Linked DNA regions of Arabidopsis thaliana. The protein of the gene in region 2 purifies or fractionates together with the protein of the main gene of each other region. This does not show direct contact. Each region holds a gene or a part of one and is shown on either strand. Other genes may lie near its edges.

Region 1 (5,012 bases), about 19 Mb from region 2:
CAAACATCCGATTTAAAGTTATGTTCATTCCATCTTCTCTCCCCTTTTCGAGCATGCGAGAATATGATTCCCCCTATTGAACAAATCAATCAACCTTTAAGCGATAACAAATTGGTGTTGTGAAAATTATTAACTTCTTGATCTCGTTTTGTCAGATCTAAAATTACTATAGCCAAGCTACCTTTCACGTCAAGTTGTCACTCCTATCTATTCCAGTGATCTTAGGAAGTCTATCTTTTGGAAGTCAAGTTTTACTCTAGGGAACCAAAAGATTTGTTCAGAAACAAGAAAAGTTCCTTAGCTGAATAACAAAAACTTGAATCAGTATTAGACAGACCCACCACACGATATAACAGACCTGACACAAACCCAACCCTAGAAGTAGTCACAATGTTCAAGTAACTCTAAAGATATAAAAAAAAAGACAAAGACATTTTGGAAAATCTTAAAACTCAGAACAACTCGACATATTAGAAGTTTTCAGAACCATAAGAGCAATTTCTTCATCTCTTAGTCGACTTCCTCCATCTTGCTCTCTTCAGCAGCGTCCTCCTCCAACTCAGGCATATCACCATCTTCCTCAACGTTCTCATCCTCATCAATACTCAGACCCAACTTCAACATCCTGTGAATCCTAGCAGCAAAAGTGTTCGGTTCATCAAGACTGAATCCAGACGTCAACAAAGCTGTCTCATACAGCAACATGACAAGATCTTTAACAGACTTGTCATTCTTGTCTGCTTCAGCTCTCTTCCTGAGCTCCTCCATTATACCGTTGTCGGGGTTGATCTCCATTGTTTTCTTGCTCGACATGTAACCACTCATGCTGCTATCTCTCAACGCCTGTGCCTTCATAATCCTCTCCATATTTGCAGTCCATCCATATTCACCAGTTACTAGACAGCAGGGAGAGTCCACAATCCTGTCTGAGACCACAACCTTCTCAACCTTGTCCCCGAGAATTTCCTTAATCGTCTTGCACAGATTCTCGAAGGACTTCTTCTTCTCTTCCCTCTTTTTCTTCTCTTCTTCGGTCTCATCTTCAAGTTTGAGGCCTTCTTTAGTCGCAGAAACAAGTTTCTTACCGTCATACTCCTTCAATTGTCCAACAGCGTATTCGTCAATCGCATCCACCATGTAAAGTACCTCGTATCCTCTCTTCTTCAGCCTCTCCAAGAAGGGAGAATTCTCCACCGCCTTTTTGCTTTCACCAGTGATGTAGAAAATGTCCTTTTGACCTTCCTTCATCCTTGTGACGTAATCTTTGAAGCTCGTCATTTCATCACCACTCTTTGTGGAGTGGTACCGTAGAAGATCAGCAATCTTTCCCCTGTTCTGACTGTCTTCATGGATACCCAATTTGAGATTCTTGGAGAAAGCCTCATAGAATTTGGTGTAGTCCTCTTTGTTCTCAGCAATCTCGTTGAACATCTCAATGCACTTCTTCACTAGATTCTTCCTGATCACCTTAAGGATCTTGTTCTGTTGAAGCGTCTCACGAGAGATGTTGAGTGGCAAGTCATCAGAGTCAACAACACCTTTCACAAAGCTGAGGTACTCTGGGATTAGCTCTTCACAGTTGTCCATAATGAACACCCTCCTGACATAAAGCTTGATGTTGTTCAACTTCTTCCTCGTGTCAAAGAGATCAAACGGAGCTCTCTTTGGTACAAAGAGAATGGCCTTGAATTCTAGCTGACCCTCCACTGAGAAGTGTTTCACGGCTAAGTGATCTTCCCAGTCATTGGTCAAGCTCTTGTAGAAAGCAGCATACTCTTCCTTAGTGATCTCTTCTGGCTTCCTCAACCAGATCGGTTTCTGCTTGTTGATGAGTTCCCACTCGTGAGAGACTTCCTTGATTTTCTTCTTCTTTTTACCATCTTTCTCCTTCTCCTCATCAACTTCTTCAACCTCACCTTCGTTTTCTTTCTTTGGTTCATCTTCATCCTCATCGTCACTGATCTCCTTCTCGGTGGTTTTCTCGGTCCAAAGGTAGATAGGGTAACTGATGAACTCAGAGTGCTTCTTCACCAAGTCTTTGAGTCTCCTCTCCTCCAAGTATTCAAGCTGCATGAATAAACACACTTGTAAGAACACAGAAAACACCAAAAGAAAAGAAACAATCCCCAAAACACTCAAAGCTACGATTCCTTACCTGATCGTCCTTAAGGAAGAGGGTGATCTTAGTTCCTCTACCAAGTGGTTCCCCATCCACATCCCTAGTGACAGTGAAGGAACCACCAGCTTGAGACTCCCAAACGTATTGTTCATCATCATTGTGCTTTGTAGTGACAACAACCTTCTCTGCAACAAGATAAGCAGAGTAGAAACCAACACCAAATTGTCCTATCATGCTTACATCAGCTCCAGCTTGAAGCGCCTCCATAAACTCTTTTGTTCCAGACCTCGCAATGGTTCCCAAGTTGTTCACCAAATCTGAAAAAATAATAGAGAGTCATAACCACAGCACATACACTAAAACATCTCACCAACGAGAGATTATTAGGCATTGATTCGTTACCTGCTTTGGTCATGCCAATACCACTGTCAATAATTGAGAGCGTCTTATTAGACTTGTCAGGAACCAATCTAATGAAGAGTTCAGGCTGTCCATCGAGCTTGCTCTTATCCGTTAAGCTCTCAAATCGGATCTTGTCAAGAGCCTACAAAACCATTCATATAAACAAAGATAATCAGAAGCTTTCCTCAATCCTCTAGGGTAAATCAAAGACTACATCGAAGCAAGAACCGTTCTATATATGTAACTACAACACATGAAGATCGAGCACAAGCTAAGAATTCTAAACTTAACGTGATGCACAAGCCAAATCACGATTTATTTGAATAAGCAATCACAACGCTAAACCTACGAATCCAACGCTATCAACGAATCCAGGAATTAAAGAACAAACAACATGCAAGAAAATAGGAAGCGGACGAGTCACACCGAGCAGAGAGAGATTTGAAGGGAAACTTACATCAGAAGAGTTACTGATGAGCTCACGGAGGAAGATTTCTTTGTTGCTGTAGAACGTGTTGATGATCAAGCTAAGAAGCTGGTTAATCTCAGCTTGGAAAGCAAAAGTCTCTGCATCAGCCATCTGAACATCCGCCATCGCAACGAACTTTGATTCAACGCAAACGAGAAACGAAAGAGAATGCTAAGAGAAAATTTGGAACTTCGAGAGCGTTTCGAGAGATTTGTGATTGTTTTGTTGATTTATGAAGAAGAGAGGAAAAAACAAAGTGATTTTATAGAGGAGAAATAAAGTTCTAGTCTCTTCTTTTGAAATAAAGGAAAACCAGTGATTTCTGGATTGTTCTTTGAAAACGACGCCGTATTTCGATGAAATCAACCGTTTTTAGCTTTGTGAGCAAACGAATTCCAGAAAGTTCTTTTCGTTTCGAGACTCCACTTGTTTCAATTCCGAATAGGTCTGGCAAAGAAATTTCGCCGGTTCAGTGTGAACTGAATGAAATTATGGTTAAATATAAACCAACTCTCATTTGTCTTCTTCACCAATAGTCATTACAAGAACACTTGCCATCTTCAAACCGATGAAACCGATTATTATCTCTCACAATGATCACTCGTCTCGTACATACGGACATGAACTTGATCGCGTTATGGCAATCACCGCAAACACGCAGATTCTTCATTACTCGGATCGGTCTATCAGCTGGAAACGTGATCAGTCCAAAAGCAATAGCTAATCTCTCACTATGATACCTTATGGTTTGATTCTTCTCGTCACCATCCACTTCTCTCAGAACATAGCTTGTGTCTGCAATGTAACCCGCTTTCTCCATCTCTTCCCCTAACTCAGCCAGCTTCTCATATATCTCCTTGCTTTTCTCATGACGTCTTTCTCCAGCTGCAAATGTATGAACCTTGTTCCTTTCTTCAACCCAACTTAGCCCTGTTTCCTTCTTTTCCCCTCGGTCTCGAAGCAATTTTCTAGCTTTAGCTGCGTCTTCGAATCTACCATCGGCTGCATAAGCATTGGATAACGAAATGTGCATACCGGAACTCACTGGTCCTAATTCGAAGACCTTGTCTGCTGCAAATGCTGCAAGCTCTGTGTTCTTGTGGACTGTACAACTCGTTAATAAAGCTCCCCATACAGATTCCGTGGGATCAATCGGCATATTAGTGATAACTTCAAGTGCTTCTTGTAATCTACCAGCTCGTCCTAACATATCCACCAAGGAAGCGTAATGCTTATCCGTCGGCTCAATCCTCGATTCTTTCATCTGATCAAAGTAGTATCTCCCTTCATCAACTAGACCCGCGTGACTACAAGCATTGAGCACATTCAAAAAAGTTATGAAATTTGGTTTCATTCCAGAAAGCTTCATCCTTTTGAACAATTCAATAACCTTTTGAGTATGTGAATGTTGCGCATACGCCTTGAGCATAGCGTTCCAAATCCCGAGATTCTTCACAGGCACCTCGTTAAAAACTTGATAAGCTCCTTCAGGAACACCACACTTTGAATACAACGAGACTAAAGAACTTCCCACAAAGCTAGAAGAATCAAAGCTAGACTTAATACTCAATCCATGAATCTGTCTACCTAACTCAAGTAGAGTCGAATTTGCACAAACACTAATAACACTCGAAAACGAGTAATCATTAACAGCGAGATTCTCAAACAAAGCTTCTTTAAACAACCACAAAGCTTCCTCATTTTCACCCATTTGTGCATACCCATACATCATCCCACTCCAAGTAACAACATTTCTCTGAGGCATTTCGTCGAACATCTTCCTCGCATAAACAATTTCTCCACATTTCGCATACATATCAACCAAAGAACTCCCCACAAACACATCAGCATCATACCCAGTCTTCATCGATAGACAATGAACTGATCTACCAATATCACAACGACTCAAAATCGCACACGACTTTGTAGCTGATGGAAGAACATGATCATCAGGTCTAAGGTTTCCCGCCATCATTTTTTTAAGAAACTCGAGTGACATCCATGGAAGCTCGTTCTGGGCAA
Region 2 (4,643 bases):
AATTTGCAGATTGCTTGTGGGTTACGCGTACCCTGCATATGGATGCTACAAAAGCGTGGAAAAGAAAAAGCTTGAGATTCACGAACTTAGATACTGGTGCCAATATTGGTAAAGCTTACTAATTGTTAATAAAGAAGATTCCTTTTTTGGATAAGGGTATCTTATTCTCATAACCATCTTATCAAAAATCCGAATTTGATTTGTAGGATCTTGGTGGCTCTTCTTACTGTTTTCGAAAGGATAGGAGACATCATTGTATCATGGTTAGTACTTATATGTCAAACTTCAAATCTCCATCATATGCTTCTTTATTGTATGAAACCTTCTGATTCATCTCATCTATCCGCAGGTTACCACTCTACGGAGAGATCAAAATCGCTCTTCTCATCTACTTATGTTACCCGAAATCACAGGTACTAACTACAGTACAATGCAATAAAAATCTAATGAGAATTCATTCTCATTCTTAGATTCACAAAACGACCAATCTTCTTCTCTTGGTTTCTAACAGGGACTTAGCTATGTCTACGAGAAGCTACTATGTCCATACATGTCAAAACATGAATCTGACATCGATCAAGGAATCTCTGTCTTAAAGATAAGAGGACATTTAGTAATTGCTCAACTACTGCAATGTATCTTCCACTGGAGCCTCCAAATCTTCAAGCAATTGCAACAACAATTCACCATCTATAAGGTATTCAAAACAAACATATACATCCTCAAGCTTTACTGCATCAGAGCACTCTCACCAAATCCATCACTTCCTTTGTCTACAGAATAAAAACCAATCAAAGTCAAAAGATCAACAACAAACAAGAACTTCTTTAATGTTTCTCCGTTAGAAGGTGCCTGCTATACTACTCTAAGCCACAATCTCAATAACCGGGTTTTTAAACCGCCGGTTAACCGGAGTTTCACATGACTTCAAATTGACCACAGACGAACAAAAAAAAAAAGATTTTTCCTTTGATATGTTTTGAATATTGTAACACTTTATTGTATACAATTCAATTCATGAAAAATCCAATTTTCTCACCAAATCAAAGTTTATTTGACAATCAAAGGAACACGAAACGATTGAAAAATCCAATCAAACACACGTCGCAAGAACTGAAACCCGGCGGATAAGTGAAGCCAAACGCGGCGGAAGAATTGAGAACCAGCAGAATCATCTGACGAAGTAAGCACCGTTGGTTGAAGATAAGACAAAGCAGCTTGCTTAACGAGACGGTTACGAATCGAGATATCTCCGGCGGCGGTGGATATAACAGGAGAGCAGCTACCGTTGATCGACGGTAAATTGAGTGAAGAGTTAATCGGAGAAGAGATGATATCTCTGAGAGAAGTGTAAGCTACGAAAGAGGATGGTTTTACGGAGATGAGCTCGTAATCGAACGAAGACGGCGGCGTTGAAGCTATGTCGAAAGGAACTTCTGGAGGAGTTAGAGTCGTCATGTTGGATATGGATTTTGTACGGCGGAGTTGAGTCGCCGGAGATTGTGACGGCGGAATCTCCATAGTCTTTCTTCTTCTTTTTTTTTGTTTGGTTTGTTTGTGAGTTTGTGGCTGATTGGGTTTTGCGAGTGTTTAAAGTAAGGAAGGAGGTCCAATTATTGATCTCTATGATATGTACATTTGTCACTATCTTGTGTTGTATTAATTAGTAAAGAGATACGTTTACTTTATTTGTATTTTCTTAATTATTATGATTGGAATGGAAGATAGTAGGCAAATTACAAAATTTAAGGATTGATTACTATTTTTGATGTGAAGATTAGATGGAAATATATTCGGAAATCCAACCAGCCTAAAAATAGATTTTGATTTAATTATCAAAGTATGATCATCAACACGGTGTCGTTCCGGTTCATCGAACATTCCACTTCTTTCTTCTTGTCTGAAAAATCTAGAAGAGCAGCTATTTGGTTTCTCTATCCGATTCGTCTCTCTCACGCCCTCACGTTTATCCACCTCATCCTCAAACCAAACCACAAGACCTCTTTTTTAAGTAACCAATCACAGAGAGATAGAGAGAGAGAACAGAGTCAATGTCAATGGCGTCTATAGCTTCTTCTTCTTCCACCACCCTACTCTCTTCCTCTAGGGTTCTTCTTCCCTCCAAGTCTTCTCTTTTATCTCCTACCGTCTCTTTCCCCAGAATCATACCCTCTTCCTCGGCATCATCCTCTTCTCTCTGTTCCGGGTTCTCCAGTCTCGGTTCCCTCACCACCAACCGCTCCGCCTCACGCCGGAACTTCGCCGTCAAGGCTCAGGCTGTAAGTTGACTCGCAATGCCATAAATTTCTTGTATTTGCTCCATCTTCTCATTCACTATGATTGTTGTATGAATTCGTTAGCTTGTTATAATGGGATCCGTACTATTTTCCTGCTTCTTATCTCTTAAGGGTTTTGAGATCATTGGATAAAAGACTAAACTTTAAACTTTTTAGAGTTCTGCGATTTGAATTGAGCGACATTTTTGTTACCCTTCTTTCGGGTTTAATTAGGGATGGGAGGAAATGATCTGAAATTAATTAATATGATTCACATTTGGCTCATACACAGAAATCTTTTGAGCCCTGCATAGATAGTGAACACCAGTTAAAGAACATTTTGTGTGGTTAAACAATTCGATGATCGATGACTGACTAGTGTTTATATGTTTTATGAATGCAGGATGATTTACCACTGGTCGGTAATAAGGCGCCTGATTTTGAAGCTGAGGCAGTTTTTGATCAAGAGTTCATAAAGGTACTTTCATTCCATTCAAACCTTATTTAACATGTTAGTTAGTTAAGTGTCATAAGCTAAGGTCAATGCAGTAGAGCAATGTTCTGATAGTAATCGACCTATGAATCATGGTTTCAGGTGAAGCTCTCTGAGTACATTGGCAAAAAGTATGTTATTCTATTCTTCTACCCTTTGGACTTCACTTTTGTCTGCCCCACTGGTTAGTATTCTGCTAAGGAAATAGCTTCAAAACTGAAACTCTCGCCCTCATAGTCACTGAAATTTCCAATTTTTCTTTGCTTATTCTAGAGATTACTGCCTTCAGTGACCGTTATGAAGAATTTGAGAAGCTAAACACCGAAGTATTAGGGGTCTCTGTCGACAGTGTGGTAAGTCAAATTTTTATTTCTCCACCTGAACCAAGAAAGAACATTCTGGTCTCAGCATTTTGAAAAATGGTTTCAAGTATTTGATGTACTCAGAACCTTGGCAAGTGGCAGTCTGATAATCGAATGGAACGTTTTCTTTTGGATAATGGAACGTTTGATTCCATGTTCATGTAGTTCTCGCATCTTGCGTGGGTCCAAACAGACAGAAAGTCGGGAGGGCTCGGTGATCTGAATTATCCTCTTGTTTCGGATATCACTAAATCCATTTCAAAATCGTTTGGAGTGCTCATCCCTGATCAGGTAAACGATTTCTTCTGACATAGTTGCATCATACTTGCATTGAGTCCAATCCACTTGTGTTCTTTCAAGTAACGTATAGCCACTTTGAATCAAAGCATTTTGCTAATATATAAGTACAGGGCATTGCACTGAGAGGGCTTTTCATCATAGACAAGGAAGGAGTCATTCAGCATTCCACCATCAACAACCTCGGTATTGGCCGAAGTGTTGATGAGACAATGAGAACCCTCCAGGTAATAAAGAGAAAAATCACATCATTGAGATAGATAGATAAAGAGAGATTTGTTTTTGAGGTTTAGGGTTTAGATGCGTTATTTGTTGCTTCTTGTGATGTTGTCTTGCAGGCATTACAGTATGTTCAAGAAAACCCGGATGAAGTGTGCCCTGCGGGATGGAAGCCAGGGGAGAAATCAATGAAACCTGACCCCAAGCTCAGCAAAGAATACTTTTCAGCTATCTAGAGGCTAAGATTGAACACATGTTTGGTGAAAATTAGCAATCAGAGTTGTTTTATTCGTCTTTTCAAAGTTGGAGCAGAGTTGTTATTTTTAGCCAAAGAACCTTTGTATCTATCTCATCTTTCTCCTGTTTCTGCTATGTGATTCTCCTTAAATTGAATCAAAAATAAAGAAATCCTTCTTTTCTTTTGCCAATATTTATGTCTTTCACTTGTGTAAATAGTTTATAATAATGCAAAGAGGCAGAGTATTTTGACCATTGCAAAAAATAAATTAGAAAAATATCATGTGAGGTCACAGCTCCCTGGAATTAGATAACTATCTGATTGATTTGTTTAATAAACTTGAGTGCTCATTAAGCTAATCTCCATCTGTAGCCGACAACAAAATTATGTTGTGGTATTACTCGGAATATTCTCCACTCGGATTAATTAAAAAATATCGTACATGATAATTTTCTGGTTAAATAAAAATCTGATACCTTTGACACGAGAAAAAAGTTAAAAACTAGAAGTTATGGATAAAATCAGAAAATAACCAAAAGAAAAGGATCGTTTTGTCATTTCTTGAAAATAGCCCTATCCTTTTTTTCCATTAAACCAAAATGTACAAAGACAAGTGGGGAGTGATAGGGTTTGGTATATACGCGGTTAGCAGTTACCCACATGGTTTATCCACTTCACACATTTAAACCACCCCTACAAAATAATGTTTATCAAAACGACCCCAATACTTTCTTTTGTCTTCTTTCCGCCCTTACCTT
Region 3 (5,283 bases), about 21 Mb from region 2:
TTCGATATCGAAGCCTAAAGTTCCGGTGTCTTCTTCAAAATCTCTCGATGCTGCGTAAGAATTCCAATCAGCTAGCAGAGACGTTCCTCCTGTTTGCAGCGGTTGCTGCTGCTGATCTCCGCTGCTACTAGTGCCGCTCATCGGAAACCATCCTTTGGCCATTTTCTCCATTTCGTTGGGAATTTTTGGAGCTGAGAAATCAAAATATAGCTGAATACCGACGATCAGTGGTTTACGTCGGAGCTAAGGAAATCGGCAGACGTCAAATCGAGCGTTGATGAAGATTCTGTCAAGGGACCGTCGTCTTAAACGGCAGTGTTATTTTGCGTTGCACTACTCATATTCTAATCGTAAAAGTTATTTAAAAAAATAATAATAACCTTTAAAACTGACCAAAAAATTGTTACACAAATTATCCTTTTTAATCAAAGTAGTAACAACATTTGTGCAGAAAATTAACGCTAAGTCAAACAGTAACAACAGTATTATGTCGAACAATAAATTATTTATTATTGTAAAGAATATGTAAGCTGTGTTGTCTGAGATGCTTAACAATATGATTTGGAGCTGCTTCATGTATTTTATTAGCCATATTAGTCATACTAATAACTTAGTTATAGGCTACATAACCAAAATAAGCTTGGATTTGCAAGATTGTGCATAAGAGAACCTTTGTCATCAAACCGAATTCAGAGAAAAAATCTTCACGAAAACAAGCGATAGAAGAAATAAACTCCAGAAAATAGTTCCAAAATATTAGTTCAAACGAAAACATAAAAAAAAAAGATAAAAAGATAACCAATGTCTCAACACCCCTAATGATTAAGTCGACTGTGTGTGATAATTTAGTCAACTTCCTCCATCTTGCTACCTTCAGCATCGGCATCATCTTCAAGTGGAGGCATGTCAGCATCGGCTTCAACAACATCATCGTCATCAATGCTCAATCCAAGCTTCAACATCCTGTGAATCCTGCTCCCGAAAGTGTTGGGCTCATCGAGGCTGAAACCAGAAGTGAGAAGAGCGGTCTCAAAGAGAAGAAGTACAAGGTCCTTCACAGACTTGTCGTTCTTGTCTGCATCAGCTCTCTTTCTCAGCTCATCCATGATGGAGTTCTCTGGGTTAATCTCCATTGTCTTCTTGCTCGACATGTAGCCACCCATGCTGCTGTCTCTCAAGGCTTGAGCTTTCATGATCCTCTCCATGTTTGCAGTCCAGCCATACTCGCCTGTTACAAGACAGCAGGGTGAGTCCACAACACGGTCAGAGACGATAACCTTCTCAACCTTGTCTCCCAAAACGTCCTTGATCACTTTGCAGAGTCCCTCAAACTTCTCCTTGAGCTCTTCTTTCTTCTTCTTCTCGTCTTCAGTCTCATCCAGTTTCAGACCTTCCTTGGTTGCAGAGACAAGCTTCTTTCCTTCGAATTCCTTGAGCTGACCAATAGCATACTCATCGATAGCGTCAACCATGTAGAGAACTTCAATACCCTTCTTCTTGAGCTTCTCAAGGAATGGAGAGTTCTCAACAGCCTTCTTGCTCTCACCAGTGATATAGAAGATATCGTTCTGACCTTCCTTCATCCTTGTCACGTAGTCCTTGAGACTGGTCAATTCATCACCGCTCTTGGTTGAGTGGTAACGGAGCAACTCAGCAATCTTGGTTCTGTTTTGGGAGTCCTCATGGATACCGAGCTTCAGGTTCTTAGAGAAAGCCTCATAGAACTTGTTGTAGTCCTCCTTGTTCTCAGCAATCTCAAAGAAGAGCTCAAGACACTTCTTCACAAGGTTCTTGCGGATGACCTTGAGGATCTTGTTCTGCTGCAATGTTTCTCTTGAGATGTTGAGAGGAAGATCTTCAGAGTCAACAATACCCTTGACAAACCCAAGGTACTCAGGAATGATGTCTTCACAGTTGTCCATGATGAAGACACGACGGACATAGAGCTTGATGTTGTTGGGCTTCTTCTTAGTGTCAAAGAGATCAAAAGGAGCTCTCTTGGGAACAAAGAGGATAGCTTTGAACTCAAGCTGTCCTTCAACTGAGAAATGCTTCACAGCCAAATGCTCTTCCCAGTCATTGCTCAAACTCTTGTAGAAAGCAGCGTACTCCTCCTTGTTGATCTCCTCTGGCTTCCTCATCCAAATCGGTTTCTGCTTGTTCACCAAATCCCACTCATGAGAAACCTCCTTAATCTTCTTCTTTTTCTTCTCCTCCTTTTCTTTCTCCTCATCAACTTCCTCAACCTTGCCTTCCTCATCCTTCTTCTCTTCCTCCTCTTCATCATCAGAGATCTCCTTCTCAATGGTCTTCTCAATCCAGAGAGAGATTGGGTAGCTGATGAACTCAGAGTGCTTCTTCACCAAATCCTTAAGCCTTCGCTCCTCAATGTACTCCATCTGGTCTTCCTTGAGGTAAAGGACCATCTTAGTTCCTCTACCAAGAGCCTCACCAGAGGTGTCTCTGGTGACGGTGAAAGATCCACCGGCCTGAGACTCCCACACGTACTGCTCATCGTCATTGTGCTTGGTAGTAACAACAACCTTGTCAGCAACCAAGTAAGCAGAGTAGAAACCAACACCAAACTGTCCAATCATGCTAACATCAGCTCCAGCAGCCAACGCCTCCATGAATTCTTTGGTTCCAGATCTTGCAATTGTTCCAAGGTTGTTCACCAGATCTGAAAAATAAAACAAAAACGTATTAGCCAACACACCAAACACATAAATAATCAACGAAAACCAATACAAATTGCTTTTGACTGAAATCAATTACGTACCAGCCTTGGTCATCCCAATACCACTATCGATAATCGTCAAGGTGTTGTTAGTCTTGTCGGGAATGATGTGAATGAAGAGCTCTGGCTGACCATCGAGCTTGCTCTTGTCTGTCAAGGACTCAAACCTAATCTTGTCCAAAGCCTGTTTTCACCAGAGTAAAATCACAATCGTAAGTAACCAACCAATACACAGAACGTATATACAAATTACATATAAGCAAACTTTGTAAATCTAACAAGAGTCTGCTTAATCGTTGGTATCAACACTAAAACTAATCAACAGATTTGAACACAAACAGCTTCGCAACTTCAATTACCAACCAAAATTCTAAAATCGGCTAGAACACTAAACCCTAATCAATCCTAAATCTACAGATCGAACAGCCAGATCAATCAAACGAGACAGACAAGTATAAAATAAGGTGTAGAGAGATAGAGATCGTACATCAGAAGAGTTACTGATGAGTTCACGAAGGAAGATCTCCTTGTTAGAGTAAAAGGTATTGATGATGAGGGAGAGCAACTGGTTGATCTCAGCTTGGAAAGCAAAGGTTTCTGCGTCCGCCATTCTCGTTGATCGGAAAAAAAATCTAAGAGCTAGGGTTTATGAATCAAATCGAGAGATAAAGAGAGCAAAATTTTCTTTAGAGAGCAGAGAAGTGTTGATTGATACGAGACTTTGGGGAAGGATGTTATTATATATAGTGGTGTGGGGACTGGGAACCTATAAGGGTTTCTAGATCCTTCCTATTTGATTTATGTTAATTTGCTTTTCAGGTCCACATAATCTGCAATATAATTAAATGGAAATTACAAAATACAAAACTATTTTTTGGTAGAAAAATACAAAACTTTATTAAATTTTTTAAAATTTTATTCCCTTTTATTTTATTTTGGAGAACAGGTGTAATTTACTACTTTTTGTAACAGGTTTTAGTTTACTTCTTTTTTTTTTTGGTTAAATTTTGTAATTTACTATTTTATTTTATTGGTTGATGATAATTTACTATTTATAAAAAACAGTCAGATTTAATTCTACTCCCTTTTTATTTTGCAGAACAGGTGTAATTTACTACTTTTTTGTAACAGGTTTTAGTTTCCTTTTTTGTTAATTTTGTAATTTACTATTTTATTTTATTGATGATAATTTACTATTTTAAAAACAAAGCAATAATTTTATTTTTTGCTTACAACTTTTTTTTTCCTGTTTACAGATTGGTATGTGTATCTTTTAATAAAGTTTCAAAAAAATCAATAATTAAATAATAATATTGAAAGTTGTAAAATAAATAAATTAAAACAATAACAAAAAGAAACACATATTCTCTAAAAAGCGTGGGGTTTGTGGGGAGAAAAAATTGATTTTTTTTTTTTAACTTCAGAATTGATTAAAACTTTTTTTTTTTTTTTAACACAACTATTTATCTTGTTGTTATAAATTAAATACATAACTAAAATTTGAAATAAAATTTTGAGATATCTTGAAACTAAGGGATTAACTTTATCGATTTCAAAAAATAACCCAAAACTAGGACCGATCTAAAAAAATCTAAACATAGATAAACTAGAATGAATGGGAACTTGTAAATTCAAATCCATAACAAAATCGAATTTTGTATATGGAGAAAAACATTGTTTTTATTGATTAGTTTAGCTAATAGAAAAATTTAACAAAAAAAAAAAAAAAAAAAGTAAGTAGCACTTGTTCCAAAAAAAAGGAAAGTAAAATATTATGACAATTTTTATATTTTACAATTTCCATTATATTATGACGTCTGTTTCCACATCCCCTATATATTACACACTTTTCCCCCTTAATCAAACCATCAATACTTCTCTGCTTCTCTTAAGAATTTGCTTTTTGATTCACATAAACCCTAATTCTTAGATTTTTTTCCCGATCAACGATAATGGCGGACGCAGAGACCTTTGCTTTCCAAGCTGAGATCAACCAGTTGCTTTCCCTCATCATCAATACCTTTTACTCCAACAAGGAGATCTTCCTCCGTGAACTCATCAGTAACTCCTCCGATGTACGATCTCTCCCTCTCTGTCTTTCTATGTTTATCTTTAAGCTTAATGTGTTTGTGTATCTCCTTCGATTGATTTGACGGATCTATGTGTAGATTTAGGTTTTATTAGGGTTTAGTGTTCTTTTCGATTTGAGATTTTCGTTTGTTAATTGATGGAACCTTTTCATGTTCAAATTTGTTAGATTACTTAGTTTTTGATTGTATATATGTTGTGTGTATTTTGTTACTTATGATTGAGCTTTTTATTCTGGTGAAACAGGCTTTGGACAAGATTAGGTTCGAGTCCTTGACGGATAAGAGCAAGCTCGATGGTCAGCCTGAGCTTTTCATTCATATCATTCCGGACAAGACTAACAACACCTTGACCATTATCGATAGTGGTATTGGGATGACCAAGGCTGGTACGTAATTGATTTCATTCAAAAGCAAGTTGTACTTGATTTCATTCAAAACCATTATCTATGTGTTTGA
Region 4 (4,830 bases), 3.9 Mb from region 2:
TAAGTTTATTGTCAAGTTAAACAAATAGAGAATTACGGGACGATAAAAAGAAGGAAACTAAATGATTAGAGACTTTATTTTTATTTTTCTCAATCGACGTGATGACCAATTTGATACAGACTCATAATCTATATGATATACCCAGGTGGAAGACCCATGCGTTGCATGCGTTAGAATTAATATAATAAAATACAACCTGTTGTTTAGCTGTTTCTAATTAATATTGAAATATGTTTAGCTGTTGAAAACATATAGAGGTTACCTTTTATTTTTCTCTAACTTATTCATCTCATCTAGTTTATCCAACTCTTTTTTATTATTCAGCTTATCTTTATTCAACTTATCAGTACTCATTTTATTCAGCTAGTTCAATTTGTTAATCACCATTGGAAACTTTTTAGGTGTTTATTTTTAGAAAATACTCTTCATTAAATCTCAAAAGTTCATAAAGTTTTTGGTGTAAACTACTAATTGGAGATTCGATCTAATGTTTTATAAAGTATTTTATATGGTTTAATAAGATTTTAGAAGGTATTTAAAAATGTTTTACAAGGTATTGTTTTACAAGGTATTTATAAGTTATTTTTATACTGTATTTATAAAATATTTATAAGTTTTTACACACATATAAAAGTAGTTTGTATACTTTAATAAAGTTACACACATATTTGAATAAACCTCATATTCTTAGGAGTACTTTTAATAAACAATTAGAAATATAATATTTTTGAAAAGTGGTATTCGAAAAGATGCTTTTGAAATTCTTCCTTTATTTAGCTTCCAATTCTAAACATTTGAACTAAACTATTTGATATTCAATTTTAAAAGCTTATATGGATTGTCACCTCCAAACATATGCTAGATATTTACTTGAGAATTTTTGATAAACATCTACTTACAAAATTTTAACTAAAATAATATATTGAGAAATTGGAAAATGAAAAAGTAAAATGGTCGAAGAAGAATATCTTTTATGATATGTTAGCCTCAACAACGGGTGATATTTAATAATTAGTTTAAAACTTTAGTCACTTTGTAGTTAATACTTCTGATTTAGGATTAAGGTCCGTTGCACCCACTACTTCTGACAAAACTAAGTGTGCGGACTTAGAAAATAGATTAAACATGGATGGTCTCCTATCTCTTTGTTGTCAACCCAAACCGGCAAACCCTGATATTCTCTTATTACTTTTCATCTATAACATATTGAGTACTAGTACTTGACCAAAACAAACATTTAACTATATAGTACATCTCTTTGGGCTTAAGGAAACCCTTTTGTAAATAAAGCCTAAGCCCAAATTGTAGAACTAGTTATAGTCAATAACACAAAATTGCTTCTAAAAATTTCCCAAATCTCAAGTCTTATTATGTTATTTTCAACAACGATATGCATGAGATCATGATACAATTTGAATCTGCAATAACAAAACTGATACAAATTGGTAAAAACATATTTTATTGTCGAAAATGTTTGAAACATTCAGATCCAAAAGAAAGGCAAGGCGAAATTGATACAACTACAAATCATTCAAATATTCTTATGTCAGAACAACAGTTCCTGGATAAATTTGCTCCCACTTGAAGAAAAGTGTAGTCATCGCTAGAGAAGATGAAGAGATTCGTGATGAAGTGGACTTGGAAAAAGAGTTGAACCATAAGAGTGGAAGACAACTTACAAAGAGTTTGGAGACATCATACCAGGAATCAGTTAGATCATTGGCATAGAACATCGAACAGCCTTCTCGAGTATTAATTTACAGAGATTTTATTGTATTATATAAAATATTCACAAAACTGTAGAAGTTTCAAGAAAATCTAAATCCGACGGTTGAAAAACTCCCTACGTAATCTCTGTTGAACAACAACGGTCCGATCAACATAGTAAAAACGAAAAGTAAATCCAACGGTTAAAAAAACGAAACAAAACAAAAGATCCGACGAGGAAGAGTAGAACCGTTTGCCCTCTCTCTCTCTATCTTCCTTATCTCTCTCCGCCACTCTCCTTCTCTTTCTCCGAACTCTTCGATGGCCGGTCTACTCAAAACGCCGTCTTTACATCTCACACCAACTCTTCTTCATGCTCCTTCTGTACCCTTTAAGCCCTTTTGCGTATCTTTCGCCGGAGGAAGAAACGTTAGCGTCTCACTCTCTCGCCGAGCTTCTCTCCGGTCTGTCTCTAGCGGCTATCCTCTCCGCTTACTAAACCTCGTACCCTTTGCTTCGGGAGAAGCTGAGACGACGGAGACGGAGGTGGAATCGAACGAACCCGAAGTTCAGGTTTTTCGATTTCGGCTCACTTCTGTTCAACTTTCTTGGGGGTTATTTCATTGTTAGTTCGGTGATTAGGGTTTCGAATTTGGGATATGGTAATTTAGAATTGCTTGTTGTTTGCTTAAATTTTTAAGCTTTATTGATTATATTACCCTCTGAAGGAACGTTCACATGAATTAGAGCAATGAATAGGATTGTATTCAGTCTATTCAGGAGTCAAATGGTGAATGCTAATGTTTCTTAGGATATACCAAATCCGATGAATGACAGATTTCATATTCTTGTGGTATGGTGTGTTCCCAAAATGAAGGAGTTTCACTAGTAGTTTAAGACCATGGTGTGTATGTACTATCCAAATCGAATTTTGATTTCGTGATTCTTGTATGGGGGCCACAGAATGTTCTGAAGCTTTTTTGGTGTTAATCTGATTGTTTAGGAGGTCATTAAAAAATTGTGTCGTTAGTGTGTGTTCTGTCTCAGCTTTTATCAGGAATAGATAGGAAACGTCTATGTAAACTGGATTGCTCTTTTTCTGATTTTTTGTTTCACTTCTGAAATCATGGAGCAGGAGACGGATGGTGCTGTTGATGTCGAGAATGAAAATGCCAGTGCTGAGGAGGGTGAAGCTGAGGAAGAAGAAGCAGCTGTTATCACAGCGTTGCTGAAATCCTATAAAGAAGCTTTAGCAGACAACAACGAGGGGAAGATTGCTGAGATAGAAGCATCTTTAAAGTCCATAGAAGATGAAAAATTTCTGCTTGCGGATAAAGTAGCGTCTTTATCCAATGAGTTATCGGTGGAGAGGGATCGGCTTATAAGAATCAGTGCAGATTTCGACAACTTCAGGAAGAGGACTGAGAGGGAAAGGCTAAACCTTGTTTCAAATGCTCAAGGAGAGGTTGTAGAGAATCTTTTGGCTGTTTTGGATAATTTCGAGAGAGCTAAATCCCAAATTAAGGTGGAGACTGAGGGAGAAGAGAAAGTCACTAATAGCTATCAGAGCATATACAAACAGTTTGTAGAAATTCTGGGATCACTTGGTGTTATCCATGTGGAGACAGTCGGCAAGCAGTTTGATCCAATGGTTAGTTACTATGATATCTTTTCTTCTTTCCGGAGATCGACAACTGTATTTTTGTTGCTCAGCTTGCTGGTGGTTTTAATTTTTAACTATGGACGTGATCTTTAAAATCAAAGTTGTTTTGGAAGTTAGGATAATTCGTTGCTATAGGGCTGCCGGAATAATCTTGAGCAGAACGTAGATATGGTTGTTACTTTGAAAGTTAGCTACATCAGATGGATGGAACAAATTATGCTGAATGATACTTTTGTGATGCAAATGATCAATAAATCTTTGAGGTTTAGGATCACTTATCTCAGTTAGATGCCTTTTGGTTATCGCAAAGCTTGAAATACATAACCACTTATGCGTCTAGTCCTAAGCATGAATCTGCTAAAGTTTTGGAGACTTTAGATGTAAGATGTGGTTGTTACTTTTGCAAGTTGGGTTTAAATGACAATGAGTTGGTAGATATCCTTTTGTTTGTTGGTCTTTTCAAGTCCCTAACAGCTGACATCTCTTTTTTATCCTTTTGCTTTTCTCGTTGTTGTGTGAAAAAAGCTACATGAGGCAATAATGAGAGAAGACTCTGCGGAATACGAAGAGGGTATAGTACTAGAAGAATACAGGAAAGGTTTCTTGCTAGGTGAAAGGCTTTTACGTCCTTCAATGGTGAAAGTATCAGCTGGACCTGGACCAGAAAAGCCCCTTGAAGCTGAAGGAGAAGAAGCCACAGCACAAGGAAGCGCAGAAGAAGAATCATCTTCATCTTGAAATTGAAGATGATCAAGACTCAGCAGTTTTGTGTGCGTGTGTGTGAGAGAGATACAGAGATAAAAGAGGGAGAGGTCTGTTTTACCATTATTGTTGTTATTGTTATTGATACGTTATATCATTTCTACAGAGTCTAGAAGTAATATAGATCGACATTTTTAATGAATTCTTAAGTATTCAATCCGAAAGGGAATGCCATAATTGATTTTTTTTCATCTCTCTATACACAGCTAGAAAATTCGGAAGATTCAGAGAAAATGTTGATAATTGGAAGTTTGGAACAAACAGAAAGTCAATACAGTAAATTGTATTTGAGTACTATGGCCTACGAGTCCAAATTATTGTCCAAGTTTTCTTCTTTTGGTTAGGGTTCTTTGGGTACTTAAATATCTTAAAGAGGAGTTGTCCATTTTGTGTAAAGAAATGTTAGGGCCATGTATGTTGGGTATCTTGGATTGGATTTTTTTTTCTTCTTTCTTTTGTTATTTTTTGGATATTTCTAGTAACGTTGGGATCCATGCATAATGCATTAAACCGGGTAATAGAATAAATAGTGTCATACAGTGAAAGTGTGAAACAATCAATAGTAAATTTTATCCTCAATGATGATAATATATCACATAATTTTTGGATCGGATACGAGGTGTAATCGGCCGGTCCATCTTTAGTCTCCTAGGACAATGCATGTCTTGTGTGAACGTACAAGTACAAATGTTGATTTG

Evidence for each region.
Region 1: the proteins of 2-Cys Prx B (region 2) and HSP90.1 fractionate together in Arabidopsis thaliana (co-fractionation; one large-scale study listed by BioGRID). This does not show direct contact.
Region 3: the proteins of 2-Cys Prx B (region 2) and HSP81-3 fractionate together in Arabidopsis thaliana (co-fractionation; one large-scale study listed by BioGRID). This does not show direct contact.
Region 4: the proteins of 2-Cys Prx B (region 2) and EMB1241 fractionate together in Arabidopsis thaliana (co-fractionation; one large-scale study listed by BioGRID). This does not show direct contact.

Annotation. Positions count from the first base shown.
Region 1 is NC_003076.8:21,350,646-21,355,657, reverse strand, and holds HSP90.1 (heat shock-like protein), read right to left. Parts: upstream 3,102-5,012; coding exon 2,979-3,101; intron 2,664-2,978; coding exon 2,522-2,663; intron 2,437-2,521; coding exon 2,156-2,436; intron 2,068-2,155; coding exon 511-2,067; downstream 1-510. Other genes in the region: MEF1 (mitochondrial RNAediting factor 1), read right to left, coding at 3,517-5,012. UniProt on the Arabidopsis thaliana protein: Functions as a holding molecular chaperone (holdase) which stabilizes unfolding protein intermediates and rapidly releases them in an active form once stress has abated.
Region 2 is NC_003076.8:1,917,329-1,921,971, forward strand, and holds 2-Cys Prx B (2-cysteine peroxiredoxin B), read left to right. Parts: upstream 1-1,751; 5' UTR 1,752-2,051; coding exon 2,052-2,279; intron 2,280-2,679; coding exon 2,680-2,754; intron 2,755-2,871; coding exon 2,872-2,953; intron 2,954-3,042; coding exon 3,043-3,122; intron 3,123-3,296; coding exon 3,297-3,422; intron 3,423-3,541; coding exon 3,542-3,655; coding exon of another isoform or gene 3,656-3,688; exon of another isoform or gene 3,689-3,766; coding exon 3,767-3,883; 3' UTR 3,884-4,097; downstream 4,098-4,643. Other genes in the region: AT5G06280 (uncharacterized protein), read right to left, coding at 1,051-1,521.
Region 3 is NC_003076.8:22,679,474-22,684,756, reverse strand, and holds HSP81-3 (heat shock protein 81-3), read right to left. Parts: upstream 3,520-5,283; 5' UTR 3,348-3,519; coding exon 3,225-3,347; intron 2,922-3,224; coding exon 2,780-2,921; intron 2,681-2,779; coding exon 846-2,680; 3' UTR 505-845; downstream 1-504. Other genes in the region: AT5G56020 (Got1/Sft2-like vescicle transport protein family), read right to left, coding at 1-171; Hsp81.4 (HEAT SHOCK PROTEIN 81.4), read left to right, coding at 4,690-4,812, 5,072-5,213. UniProt on the Arabidopsis thaliana protein: Functions as a holding molecular chaperone (holdase) which stabilizes unfolding protein intermediates and rapidly releases them in an active form once stress has abated.
Region 4 is NC_003076.8:5,838,838-5,843,667, reverse strand, and holds EMB1241 (Co-chaperone GrpE family protein), read left to right. Parts: upstream 1-1,809; 5' UTR 1,810-2,028; coding exon 2,029-2,280; intron 2,281-2,842; coding exon 2,843-3,358; intron 3,359-3,895; coding exon 3,896-4,108; 3' UTR 4,109-4,329; downstream 4,330-4,830.